Styela clava: one gene and its partner. The protein of the gene in region 2 purifies or fractionates together with the protein of the main gene of each other region. This does not show direct contact. Links are inferred from orthologs where the notes say so. Each region holds a gene or a part of one and is shown on either strand. Other genes may lie near its edges.

Evidence for each region.
Region 1: the proteins of tRNA (cytidine(32)/guanosine(34)-2'-O)-methyltransferase-like (region 2) and tRNA (34-2'-O)-methyltransferase regulator WDR6-like purify together in Homo sapiens (affinity purification with mass spectrometry; 3 studies listed by BioGRID and IntAct, with this or other methods). This does not show direct contact. The link is inferred for Styela clava from reciprocal best matches to the Homo sapiens genes FTSJ1 and WDR6.

What each region holds. Positions count from the first base shown.
Region 1 is NC_135254.1:10,191,471-10,198,690, forward strand, and holds the start of tRNA (34-2'-O)-methyltransferase regulator WDR6-like, read right to left. Parts: upstream 3,017-7,220; 5' UTR 2,928-3,016; coding exon 2,867-2,927; intron 1,982-2,866; coding exon 1,866-1,981; intron 1,230-1,865; coding exon 1,157-1,229; intron 748-1,156; coding exon 645-747; intron 568-644; coding exon 430-567; intron 76-429; coding exon 1-75. UniProt on the Homo sapiens protein: Together with methyltransferase FTSJ1, methylates the 2'-O-ribose of nucleotides at position 34 of the tRNA anticodon loop of substrate tRNAs. Required for the correct positioning of the substrate tRNA for methylation.
Region 2 is NC_135263.1:13,288,928-13,296,541, reverse strand, and holds the start of tRNA (cytidine(32)/guanosine(34)-2'-O)-methyltransferase-like, read right to left. Parts: upstream 3,010-7,614; 5' UTR 2,869-3,009; coding exon 2,675-2,868; intron 2,445-2,674; coding exon 2,339-2,444; intron 1,492-2,338; coding exon 1,413-1,491; intron 773-1,412; coding exon 720-772; intron 552-719; coding exon 488-551; intron 1-487. Other genes in the region: polyprenal reductase-like, read right to left, coding at 3,827-4,732. UniProt on the Homo sapiens protein: Methylates the 2'-O-ribose of nucleotides at positions 32 and 34 of the tRNA anticodon loop of substrate tRNAs. Requisite for faithful cytoplasmic translation.

The DNA of each region.
Region 1 (7,220 bases), on a different chromosome or scaffold from region 2:
CGAGATCCCGGTCTCCATATAACCACTTGATTAAAAACTGTCCCACTACATAACGTTAAAGACTTCCAAGTTGGTCTGAAATTAAAATATCAAGATTTAATTTTTAAATAAATGAAATTGAAATCAAACCAAAAACCTAGACTGGCTTTGGGTAACTTGGGTGTACATTCATTATTAAGGCATAAGCAACATTGTAAACCTACGACTGCGGGCTGTATAACAGCATGTTCGAAATCACAAAAGATTATTAGCCTGTGCTATACCGGACTATATGGATGCTAGATAACAAACCCATCGACAAGAATGAACAGAATCGAAAAAAAGACTACAATATACTCTAAATTAAGGCATGTTCAATAAAAAACACATTGACACAAGTGTAAAATGCAGAAAAGTAAAGTCAAGCATAGTTTTTGAGATAAGTAATACCTTTCGTCTGCAACAAAATATGCAGAGTACAAAATACATTTTTCTTCGCAATGAGATTCCACTATAATCTTATCTTGCATCCAATCATATAAAACTACAGAATTATGTCCAAGCGCGAAAGCGATCTGATCTGTGAGTCTAAAAAAAGCATTACAATATTTTAGTAAGTAATTTAAAAAGTGGTTAGTTCTGACATTCATACATGATAAACATACCTTGGAATGTCATCGTTTACAATGTCTCGGTATATTAGCGAAACATCCCATATCCAATCATGAATTTTAGATGAAAAAAGTATCTGTAACAAATCATCATCATCTAGAAAAAAAATGAAATGACTCATCACACAGAAAAAGTGGAAATCTTATATTTGTTCAATCTTAGTAAAATGTTTCTAACAAATTCCGATGACTCCTATTGAACAAATTCATGAATGTTGATGAAATAACTAACTTTACGAGTTTACGAACAAAATTAAGTAATTTTATGACAGTTAATAAACATAGAGACAAAACTATGTAGAATTAGAAAATGGGAACGAATTTTAGATATTCACATTTTTTGAGTAAGTTGCACAAAACAAGTTCATGCGGCTATATGCAAAAGTTACATGCATTTCCTAGCAAAGTTGTCGCCAACTAGTGGAATGCGAACGATTGAAATTATGCAGCATATAATATTGTACTTTAGGAGACTGCTGACCTGGTATAAACAAAGATCCACAAACCTTCAGTTAATTTGCAAATGCACCATTCTTGTCCACCATATGCAACAATAAAAGAATTTTGACAGTTGAAAACCTGAACGATCACATAATATGAAAATAATAAACTCGGACAGAGAGCAAGAGAGATTAATTATTTGTCAACCAGAACAACTATAATAAAAATATACAGCAATATACGTAAAGTTACTTGGTATAGACTGGGGAGAGCTCTCCCCATATTCACTATTTTGTATTATGTATACGATACTGACGATTATGATGAGTACATGGTGTATAAAAGGGCTAACTGCCAGAGTTTTATCTACATTTTCAATTCAGTTATAAAATCATAGAGCTTTGAACCCACAATTGATGAACAATCAATTTATTGATGTGTTCAAAACTTAAAAAAAATGTTTTAGGAGACACTTAATGCAAAAATTACAAGGGAGTAATGCTAAAATATATTTTTGTAAGGTCAAAGGTCATAAAGTGTTCTAATTTGTCATAAAATAATGTTCCATGATATTAAAGAAAACAGTAAATATTGGGTGAAAATTCCGTCTTAAGGACTCAAAGAAGAAATTTAAAAAAAAAAATAAATCTCCGGGCAACTGTAACCAATTTGTCTATTAGCAATTTTTGCCCCCCAACAACAATTTAACAAAAATATATATGAAATCACCATCACAGCATGAAAACCGTCTACATATAAAGGGTTTTTGAATACCTTCAATCCATGGACAACATGACGATTGAAAATTTTCTTCACACTCAGAACTTCTGTTGTATCATTTTCTCCAGACTTAGGTGTTCGAGTATAAATTTTAATGAAGCTTCCAACACCTGAAACATTTGATGAATAATAAAACACTGAAGCAAGACATTCTTTAATACCTATTATTACGTCAAATTTACATTGCCATATTGCAAATACAAGATTAATTGGAAAAGAATGAAAGAATCGCTGAATCAGCCATATAGTTAATAAAGTAGCCTTGGACATGTAAAAGGTATATGTCAGTCAGACAGTGTACAGCACAAGTGATTACTGGATTAGGGTTTATTTAATAAAGTGCTAACATTTTTACTACTGTGCTGTGAGACTTCAATTTAATGAAGTTTAAACCAAAAAACTTAGCCATCGACTATCGTTACTTTTTCAGTTTTTAATGTCAAGATGCACTTGATGACAGACTGATTAAAAGACAGTGTGCAGACCCTGTGGATTGACCCAGGCAAGGTAAACACAGTAAAATGAATGCAGCTTGAGTTTCGCTGAAAGAATTCTAAATCGTGAATAATATTCATCAAGTTTTATCTCACAATATACAGATATACACAAGGACCCTGCAGCTCAGCACCAGTCTAACCCTGCAGCCCACAGGTATGTCAGTACTGCAGTATGTTAAATTTGTTGCTATAATAATTTTCCACTTGACGAACAGTGTTGAAGTACTGAAGTAACAAATACTGAAATATGAATGAAAAGGCTAGAAGAAGAAGACTATATAAATTTGATAACTACAGAACTACGAAAAAAAAATGGTACGGGTATGAAAAATGACCACTCAATTTGAGTCGTTATATTTTATTTACATTTATTCGCAAAAACAAAATAAACATAAGTTATATACCGGTAAACAAAAGATTAAAGCAGTACCGTAAAAGTAACAGAGTGAAGCAAAAAATCGGAAGACTGAAGTCTCTTAACATAGTGACATTACTTACCGGCAAGCAAATACTCCTTATAGACAGCAAGAGCAGTTACTGGAACTTTGATCAAAGACATCACTTTGCAACACAAAATACTGTTCAATTAAAATTATCAAAAGAGAAATTTTAAGTCAAATTATAATGAAATATGACTTAAGCACGTTGAAAAAGGGAAATCCCCTGTGAAACAATAAAATGAATACAATTAACAATGAACTCTGATCCTTGACCCCTAAAAATTTGCATTATACTTTACCAATTCAACATTTTTGAGTGTTTTGGAGAGTTGGCGCTTACAAATGTTTCAAGCTCATTTTTAATAAAAACCCAAACCGTGTGGGGCTGACAGGTGAAAAGTACTTCATGAGGCGTTGGTCCATATTATCACACGTGTAACCGGGAATGAAGAAGTTTATCGCGGTTCCATTACATTTGAACCTACGTAGGCTACATTTGAACCCACGACAATTGCACCTGCATATTATTGCACCTATGGAAATTTGCACCTACGGATATTTGAACCCATACTAACCCTAACCCATGGATTTTAGCATCCGCATATAGATTGAACCCGCGGATACACACGTTCAAATGTGTTGTCACCGTTTATAGCGAAAAGTTAGCTGATCGAACCCGAGGATAACATCCAAATGACAGATGTAATAGCTATTTGATAATGGGTTCCGTAAAAATGATTGCTCATATAGCACAAATTTACAAAGCACGTGGATTTATGGATTTGATATATACTAAAATTGCATGGCCAGGGCATGCCCTTGGTATATTTTACTCTGTTCGTTGTTACGGTTCTTTTATTATGGTTATTTATTGCCCAGTAGTGAGTAGACTATCAGTTCTCCATTTATGTTGAGAATACTCTGCGCCTCTGACTACCGCGGACAAAAATTATGTGCAATAGGATTGCTGGACTTCTTGCCACTGTAACGGGATTCGCGTAACCGCTGGTTGGTTACGCACCCCTCCCCCTATTAGTTCCACGCATCTGAAACAAATAACTGGATAACATATCGTATACCCGACATGAACTCTCGTAACCGAACGAGAGGCCGTGGTCCGCTATATAATTAAGTCGTCTTATCGGCCTTCCTCTCCCCCGGAATAAATATGTCCTATAGCTATGGATCTTACGAATAAATAAAACCCTCGTTTGGACGAAGATGCATATCATTTCAAGAAAATAAAAAAGTCTTAGAAATTTTTTTCAGCAAATGAAAACAGGATTTAATTTTCATTTTTTGCCGTCTAATATTATCTTCATTGAATAATTTATTTATTCGCTTTCTTATGAATGACAATAAACGTTGTAAGTCTAAATAAATCACGTGATTTATTATGAGTAATCTGTAAATAAAGTTTGTCACTATTATTTCCATATTGATGTAACGTCAGATGAAATATGGCTATATAAATGGCTCAGTCACATTAGAATTGTTGTGCAAGAAATTTTTAAACTAAATTACGCCCAAGTCATTCTTGAATTGAAACATTGCACATAGATAATGTTGTCTGTTGATCGTCATAAATGAATGGTATTAATGCACACGAATTGCATTGATTGTTTAGTTGCTGTGAGCAATAAAGAGACGTATTGTTGATAAACGTATCTCTGCGCTCGAGCTTGCGTGGGCCAAAACGTATGTCATTAGTTGACAATTCCCAACATTATATTGAGAAGGAATATATGTACTTGCGTGATTTGAAAGTCTGGCAGATATATCACAAAGTAGCAAATTGTTATATCAAGGGTACACGATGGGAATCGGTCTGTGTGTGCTAAATTGTTACTCCACGTATTATCCCTTACTGTATTCTAAAAGAATTGTTTGATAAATCGACATAAAACAATACATCTACGCTATTTGTAATGCATTTGTAGGTGTATTGAAATTCCTATAATACGTAATCAATTCTATCACATATACAGTAATGCATTGAATACGAGGAAGTAGTCATTAAGTTTATTATCAGTCATTATTATAAAATATAGGTCATTATTATCATAGGTTAAGTACCTACGTAGGCTACGTCAGATAGCACGCGTGAACTCATTTCATTGTTTTGCGTCAGTGCTATCATAGGAAAATTATGACTGTTTTGTAATTGATGATTTTATTTAGATGCGTTAGTAAATTTCATTGCGCATTGTATAAATGGCGCTTGCAAGTGACACGAACAATTTAGATTTTCAAATAGGCGCAATTGCTGATTTTGGTGGAAATCATTTTATTGTATAAAACATTTGATGTATTTTTATGAGAAGATGCTCAAAGCAGGTTCAAGTGCACTTACTTAGGAATAAGAAGAACTCATTTTATAAAAAAAAATAGGAAAAGTAGAGTGCGAAGAGCCACTGAAATCATACAGATTAAAGCGAGCATTGTGCACAAGTACATGTTGATGCAAGACTTGAAACAGTTGAAGTCATTACGATCGCTACATTACGCTATGAGTTGTTAATTCCGTAATATATTCTGAAAATTTTGATAAAAATATTTCTTGGTTTTGAAGGTTAACTGCCAGCCGAAACTCTTTTTTTTTTTTGGTGGGGCGTAACCAGAACGTCCATAAGCGAGTTGTGGGATCTTTGGACAGAATGTGACAGGAATAATCCAGAGAAGGACGTAGGCCTATCACTTAATTGTACAAATGACGTAGGCCCTAACGAGAAAGATGCCTGCCGCTACGGTAGAAAGATCCAACGTTCTCGCGTAACCAAAGAATATGTACAATATCATTCATAAATAATAATCAAGTTAAATATTAGGACATAACAAGCATATCAAGCAAGCGAGAGTTAATTTTCCAAAGTTCTTACCTGAAAAGGCCCCTATAATCGGTCCATCATAAAGATAGGTCGGCAAAACAGTTTAAACATGCTATCCTGTATTTGGAAACCCGTTTCTAATGGATTTGGCTGCTTGGAACTTAACACTGATACAGCGATGAAGAATGGTGATATTAGCAGTATCTACACATGGTGCAAATGAGATTATCTGGAAGTTGAAAATTGAATTGAAGATTATCTGGATTGAAATTGAATGTAGATTGGACTTTCAGAAGAAATAGGTAATGTCTGGAAGCGGATGGATGACTATCAAGAACCATTGTGGCGATGACGTTGTTTTCGCAAATGATTTTCTGATGACAAACAATTTACCATGTAATATATAATTCAATTTATTGCATAATTCCGTTGCGAAAGATCCTATAAAAAACTTCAAAATATTCAAACAAACTGACTCAGACGCCCAAACCAATTTAATGTGCATTAATAACAGTTAACGAATGAAATATGGAATGGTTTCAACGAAAGAGGCGATCAGATTCGAGATAAACAGTAATGATACTGATATACGTGTTTCATGCCATTTGTTGATGATAGACGGAATGCTATTTGGACGATATCTACCGAGAATCATGATATCGCCTTCGTTTTTAATTAAATGTCAAAACAACAGGGGAGGAACTGGCCTGAAGCAAGTGCACAGAACTAAACAAGACTCAATTCAAATCAAAGCCGGTACGTTACTTCAAATCAAGGCTGTATTTGTTGAAAAATGATTTCACGAATAAAGCGTCTTCATCCTGAGAGCAATTTATTTTTTCCATCCTAATAATTAGAGGTGGAATCCCAAATTTACCGAGGACTGATAATGAAATATGGCGGATAAATTTTTCCAATGAGATTAAATCTCTCTTTTTACACTTGTGTGTCGTGAAATGGACAGGCAAGAAATGAAATACTATGCCATAAATTTTGGTAGAAATCGAAAAACGAATACAAGTGAACGGACAGAAATTTATAGTTAATATCGAGAAGCGCCGAGCTTGTCCTTTAATGTGTTTTCAGTACTGATTTCAACTTTATCATTTAGTAATATTATTCTTATGATATTCTCAAACATCAAAATAAAATATTGAATACAGCACTGTTCTTATATAAACTAATAAAAAGAAATGGGATTTTGTATAGGCTATGCATAAAATTGTATCGCAGGTGCGCTATGTGTCGGACTTGATATTATAGCGCGACGACTTGTAAATTGATATGAAAATACAATGCTCTTTTCAATTCAATGAGAAGTCAATGTGTAATGTGTACAAATAAAATAATGCGATACCATTATTATTTCAGTGTTTAACTCGTTCGGAGATATCTATTTACAGTAATAATAGTGAATAGATATCTTCAAAAAATGAAATAATTTGATTGCCGCTGGATATTAGACAATCAAATGAATTATCAAGTCATTCATATTCGACTTAATTAAGACTGGCAAGGAAGCTCAATTTTATTCTTCTAAATAAAAAGTGAGTTATTGATGTTTGCTCAAACTTAACGATGAAG
Region 2 (7,614 bases):
TATGGAGAAAATAAGAAATATGAATGTTTTTTCATGTGTGGTAAATTCAATGCCAGAGTCCAGAAACATAGTGAAAAATTATTCACTAATAGCAATGCCTTATTCAAGTAATGACCAATTACTCTATTTCGCAGAAATCTTGGCTTGACTATGCAGCGAATTGACACAGCGAATTAAAGACCACTAGTTCAAATTCCATGACCACCAACTCACTTGAGACATAAATTGGTTAATGCTAAACTAAAAAGATTCCGGTCTCTCCAAAAATTGTAGCTCTCTAGATATCAGTGAATGGTTGTACAGAGCCTTGTTCTGAGCAAAATTTATTTGGGCACAGAGATACCTAATTGTTGACGTTGGCCTTGTATAATATATACATAACACCAGTCAACGTAGAATGTCGCTACAGATGATCTTGGCTCTGTGGCAGAATTTATAAACTGATAAATTATGGATTAAATTCTGAAAAAAAAATATTCAAATATACCTCTGAATATTTTTGCAATGAATGTTCCTCCCTTCTTCAGTACATGAGTTGTTATATTCAATGCCTGACAAGAAGAATAGTTAATTTGTTATATATTCAACACTGATAATCAGTCATTGTCTATACTGTATATAACATGTAAGTAACAAAATATCAACCTGTGATTGGTATAAAATGCAACAGTACACAAGATAACAATCTACAAATATAAAAGAGTAAAATTGTAACTTACAGCTAAAAGTAATTGAGCTTGAATATACTCGTCAATGTCATGAAGTCCAGTAACTAAAAACAAATGAGAAATTTATATTATGATGAGATGTAACTCTGAAATAAATCTAAAATAGGTACGGTAACCTGCAAAATCTTGATTCTCTATAATTATCAGAATAAAGCTTGGTCTTTCCATTCCCACCTTGGCCAATTTGAATCTTGACTGGTTCATAATCACTCATGTGGATTAATCAAACTTATTGTCTTCACAATGAAGATTACATTTTGGATATGAAGTGTACTTATGAGTTGTTCTCCTAATTTATGTTGTCAGAATTGCTGTGGTAGTTGTTGTTGTGAAGAACTAATGGACCAACCGATTGCAAATTTTAAATCTTGCAGATGAAAGAAGTCGATGAAAGTCTATAACTTTAATATATTTTCAATTTTTTTTATGATGCATATGGGGTCCGATATTTAAAACCAAATTTTGCTGTTTTATTCTAAATAGAAGGAACACTGTCTCAAGATTTGACTTTGTGTCAATATATTTGAGTTCTCCTGTACTGTCATGAAATCATTACTTACCTGTAATACTTAATTCAAAATATACAAATTTGTTGGTTATTTATCATTTTTTCATATGATGCCCTTAAAAAAGATAAAAGCAATAGGTCATAGGTCAGGATTAAACAGTAAGAAAGAAACTTACCATCCGGTGCCCCATCACAAACAACCAAATCTGCAGGTTCGCCCTTGAAATGATCAACAATACTTTCTGCTGTTGAAACCTATGGTGTACGAATGGATTACAAATGAAAACATATGGTAATTCAAATGCACAAATTATACATCTAAAAATCTGTGTGATGATATATACATAGCATAATATGAAGTAGACTTTTGTAATTGGAGTGTGTCCAAATGACAATTGCATGTTGATATTTTCATTATTCAGACCCACAGAAATTCAAAATGAGTTTACAATATTACATATTGATCTAGTCCAGGGGTGGGCAACCCCTGGCACGCGTGCCAAACTTGGCACGCAGGCCCATTTATCCGGCACGCGAGGGAGGCTTCGGGAACGAGATCATTCTACTTCAGATAAAAAGCTTCAAGACTATGAATTATCTGATGAAACGAGGTGTTCGTTTATTCATTATCGTTTGTAAACAATACGTTATTCGAATCTATTTGTCGGACTGATATTACACCGATTAGTGTATCTGTCCGTACGTGTTTGAAAGGTTTAATATTGTGTATCTCTGCCTCAAGAGTGGTAAAGCATGGTTTTTGATTTTGGTTGGCACGCGGAACAATTTTGTCGATCAACTTAGCCGATTTTGGAATTTGGCACACGAGTCGAAAAAGGTTGCCCGCCCCTGATCTAGTCTAATCTGACACCATTCAACTTTATGATTGAGATTTACAATTACGATGCTATTTTGATATTGGCACTCCAATTTTGATGTGACTATTCATTTAAGACCAACCATGCTCCCTGATTCTCTGAGTAGTAGGCCCTAACATTATTGAAGAATAAAAACTTGAAAATGAATATTCTAAAAAAACTAGGTCACACGAGAAATAAAGTCATGACTCATGAGTTAAATTTTTTTTAAAACAACATCTTGCCTTTGTGATATCTCCTTGTATTTGTATAACACCAGGTAGTGGAGCCATTGCCTGCAAATCTACTGCTACAATCTTTACATTTGGATTCTCTTGTCCAGTGGGCCCTCTGAAATATTTTTTTCTACAAGTTAACAAGTGTGAAAATGCAAGGGAACAGAAATTGAATCTTCAGAAAACAATGTTTATTTGTAGTAGCATATAAGACTTTGTATAACATACATGCAACCAGAAGAACTTAGTTTATTAAACTTCTTGGATTTAAGAATCCTTCAGTCAAGAAAATAAAATGTTATATTCCAGTATTAATGCCATGACAAAAAAACCTTGATTATTCACCTTAATGTTCTTGTCAAAACTTGGCTCCAACTGCCTGGTGCAGCACAAAGGTCAACCACTCGTTCAACACTTTTGTTCAAAAATTTGAACTCTTCATCTAAATGTAATAATTTGAATGCACTGCGTGCTCTCCATCCTTCTTCTTTTGCTAATCGGTAATAAATATCACGCTTGTCTTTACTCGATTTTCCCATTAAACTAGACTTGTATAAAGGTGGAATTAAAAAAAATTTGAATATCTAAAAAATTAGAAAATTTCAATTAGCTCAATTTGCTGATAAAATATAACTTAAAGAACCAAGATGATAATTTCAAATTGTAGGCCTATATTAAATTTCGAGCAATGAGAACACTAAATGCATTTCTCTACAATACAGAGCCAAATATGTTAATACCATGATTCAATTAATCTCCTATGAATTGGATTAAAAATGACTTCTGTTATCAGTAACAGGGAAAATAAATATCTCAGGACAAGATGAGTACCAACAAACGAGCAGGTTTGGGCCTATGCCGACAAATCCTTGTTCTCAACTTGCCTACAGTAGCATGTACAATAACAATTTAGTGTTTGAGAAAATAGGAAAAAAGAAAATTGCTCTTTGAAAACATACAACAGGGATGAATAATGCCACAATTTTCTATTTTAATAAAATATTGACCGAAAATTTGCTAAAAAAACAAGATAAGTATTGTATATATGCATAGATAAGTGTTTAATACAACTTAAATTTGACAAAATAGATTGAACATGCTTTTGCTAACAAAATTTTGACCAAGCAAAAGCCATGGGTAAAAATGAATATACAGGGTGTCCAAAAAGTTTCGTCCGATTATAAAGTCTTTATAATCAAATGTTATTTTTTTTCTTTTAAAAATGATTTATAGTCAACCTCTTTCTAATTGGATGTTATAGATGTTGAATGTTATAGTCCCTATTTATCATAGAACCAAATTTATTCAAATTTGCAATTGGTAATGCTATGAAATCGGGCGGAACTTTTTGGACACTCTGTATGTTACATAAACTGAGCATATCAACTAAATACCTGCTGAGTTGCATTAATCCGATTCGGGGACAAATTTCAAATCCAGGTTGGGACTTATTGCACATGATACTTTGACTGGGGTAGGAGAAGATTGTGTTCTCTCTCAGTATACAAAAGGAATCAGTGCTCTTCTATGCTTTGGATATTGTTTGAATGTTGATAAATACCATTCATGGGACATTTTAGCCATTCCAATATGTATCACAATGACAAAAACAATAGCATATCTCCAAGAATAGTGCGAAAATCCTACTATGAATGTCAGAGCAGTGTAGATCAATATTTCAGTAAAATAATGAGGACAGGACACAAATTCAAAGAGATCACCAGTGGGGATTTTATATTCAGATTTATCAGAAATTTTTCTCAACTTAGCAAATATATGAAAACTTTGATTTTGATAATATGAGGCCACAACAAAGAGAATTATTCCAACAAAATGTCTCAGTTCGATATCACCAGAAGGTAATTTTTCAATTGCACCAATTTTTGAAACAATAGTTAAAGGCTCAAAAATATAGAAAAAAACACCAAGAAAGTAATGGAATAAATTTATAGTAGCTTGCTTGGAAAATTTGCTAACATATAAACATTCATATAATCTTCGACAACCTTGAATAAGTATAAGTGTAAAAGCAAGCAATAACGACTTCTTTGTTATCAAATTTCGAGTTGTACTCGATTCAGGAACAATGTACTTAATGATCAAACCTTTTTGCGTATCAGAAAACCAAAATATTATGCTCAAATCTGCGATGAATATCAAATTCCATAGTACAGAAATAGCATAAAAATGTGTGAATATCTTCTTTGGTAAATTGAAAAACTTAATGGCTTTTCCAGAATTAAGTTTGCCATATTGAGAAGCTATTGTCATCAGCTGCCACAGAACTCCGCCATTTTCTTTATTAAAGGTGCAAAGAGCGACGAGAAGTAGAACAAGGAGGAATATCATAATAAACCATAATAATTCAATTGTGTCTCCAATAGTTGGTGGAACATAATCCATGCCAGTTGCTCAACTATTACAGTATTAGGTTATATAACTTTGATCTGGTGAAATAAATCTGTAAATTTCACATATTACAGTATTATAATCTTATAGAAAGCTAAATCCAATACATGAAATACTGGAAGCTAGTTCACTAAACGCTGTCAAGTACTTTTAGTTGGCGTGGCATGACCATTTTCACATATGTCATAATGATATCTATCCACCACCTGACTACGTCATCCAAAAATTACGTCACTACAGCGTAACAATTACGAAATATGACCCGTCAAAGTATACGAATCGTCGTCCAAAAAGCGCAGACGATCACCCGAAATCAAGCAAGCTATTTCTTTCGTTTCCTCGTCGTAACGATTCCAATATCAGAGAGATAGCTAGCGTTAGCGTGTTCGTTGTCTTCAGCAGAGATGTCATTTCGGCCATCATAGCTTTTCTTTGGAAGCTCTATGACGTGTTTGTGACGTAAAAATGGGGTAATTTTCGGATGACGAAGCCAGGTGAGGAATAAGGGTCTCGTATAGTTTCGTACATACCGTACTTCTAGTAGGCGTAGCATAACAATTTTTCGACATGTCAATCCTAACCCTCACCTGACTACGTCATCCAAAAATTACGTCACTACGACATCACAATCACGTCATAGAGCTTGCCGAATACTCGTACGATCGCCCGAAATGGCATCGGCGCCGACGATAAAGAACTGACTAACGTCAGCAATCTCTCTCTTATCGGGATCGCTGCGACGAGAAAACGAGAGAAATGGCTGTTCGATTTCTCGTCTGCGCGTCTTGGATGACAGTTCGATGACATAGGACATGGATGACATAGTCTGAAAAGTTCTATTACGTCACTGTGACGTAATTTTTGGATGGTGTGGTCAAGTGGGGGTTAGAATTAACACGTGAAAAAATTGTTATGCTACGCCTACTAGAAGTACCGTACGTTAGGTACGAAACGACATGACACCCAGGAATGACATATGCAAAAATGTTTGTGCCACGCCAACTAGAAGTACCGGTACTTTCGTCGTTTAGTGAACATGCGCCCAATATGGAATATCTGAATACTGCAAATATGAATGAATGATGGACTTAACGTGTAGCTGCATATCACGTCAGTAATATATAGAGATAGGCCATAGGCCTAGCTGATACATCCCACACAAATGCGGTACCAACCTCTGCCCAGTTACACCAACAGCCCGAGTATGGTCCAACAAAAACGAGAGTGGGTACACGGATAAATCCTACCGAACTCAAGCGTATGCACAGGTTCTTTCCCAGTCGGGAAATTGAAGTCCGGAAATATTGGAAATTGACTCCCACTCCGGATTAAGAAAACATTTGCGATGTGTCACCGTGTATAATTGTGAGTCCGGGTCGTAAAAAATATACTCCGACTACAGCTCAGAACCCAGATTATCGCCATGACCTCATTTGAATATCTGTCCCAGAGCTCATTGCTGGCAGAAGTTTTGTTTTCAGAATACTTCAGGAGGTCCGAATCATGTGCTATAAAGTTAAACTTCGGAAACCATAGCTCTGCAAATTTCAACTATATTTTTTATTTATGAAAAATGTAATTTGGAAACGCGATTCCAAAAAATGACTGAAGTCGTCCAGAAAATGCTGCACTGCGAAGAGAGTTTTATCTTATATAGCCTATCTATACTATTACTTGATTCAAACAATATCATATGTATTGACTCAGAAGTGTGGAAGACTTACTAACTTACTTCACTTTTTATTATTCTAGAAAAAATATTTTTTACTCCCGCATGTCTACATGAAATCTGGTAACAGCTTCGGTATAGCGAATGCTTCTCAATTCAATGAGGATGAGCCGAGGAGATTCTAAAACGGATTTGGATTCGAATCAATACCACGCGTTTGTAGCACTCAAAATTGAGTTCTTGTTGGACATTTCACTTTATTTGTCACTAACCATAAAACCCCATTAGTGGTCTATCAATGTGCTGATGAAGCATCTATTTATTGGACACGTTTAGTGGCCATAACGATCGTTTCAATATTATGTTGTTCTTGTTCTTTGACACGTTTTTGAAAAATCGCTTTTCTCTTCGAATACTGGACCAATTGCTTTGAAATTTTCAGGGGTTAAAGATTAATTTCTTCGCTAGAAGGCTATTACTTTTATTTATTTCAAAATTCTGCGTGAATTCTATGAAATTTGATATTTCGTCTAAAATTCTGCTGTGTTATTTTTTATCCATGGGAACACACATTTTAGTCAGTGTCATGACTGGCTGTACGTTTTGATTCTGCAAAATTCTTGCTACTGGAAATTCAGAACTTTTTTGAGGGTACCGTACCGGTAGCGTCAAAGGTACCGGTAAAGACTTATTCGCTCTGGTCTAACGTGTCCATATATTTGTGCGTAGCTCTCTTGTTTTTTATGTGATCTTCCGAAAATAACTTTCCGATGATCGGAAAGTTTTTGTTGGTGCAGAATATTTGTGTGTTTCAGGGTTGATCGCAAAATAAAATAAAAAATCTACCACGAGTAATTATCCGCTCCTGATTGATATACTTTCAGAACAATTGTTATAACATGAATTAAAAAGGGGTTATCAATATCTTTTTAAAATAGCGTTTATTACGTTCAATCGCCTGCCGAAATATAAAAACACGAAAACTTTCGCTAAATGCAACAAAATTGTGCTCAGAGCTAATAACAAGCTTAAAAGCAGAAACTATAGGATGAGCGACGTTATAACGTTTGTAATAAGGAGATCCGCTATAATGCATGAGTGGATGCACACCCCGTACCATTTGCGCAAGCATTGTACACAACCATCGTCAATAACAGTGAAGTATCGAGGTCAAAATTTAGTTCCTTCTGATTAACATGTCTTCACG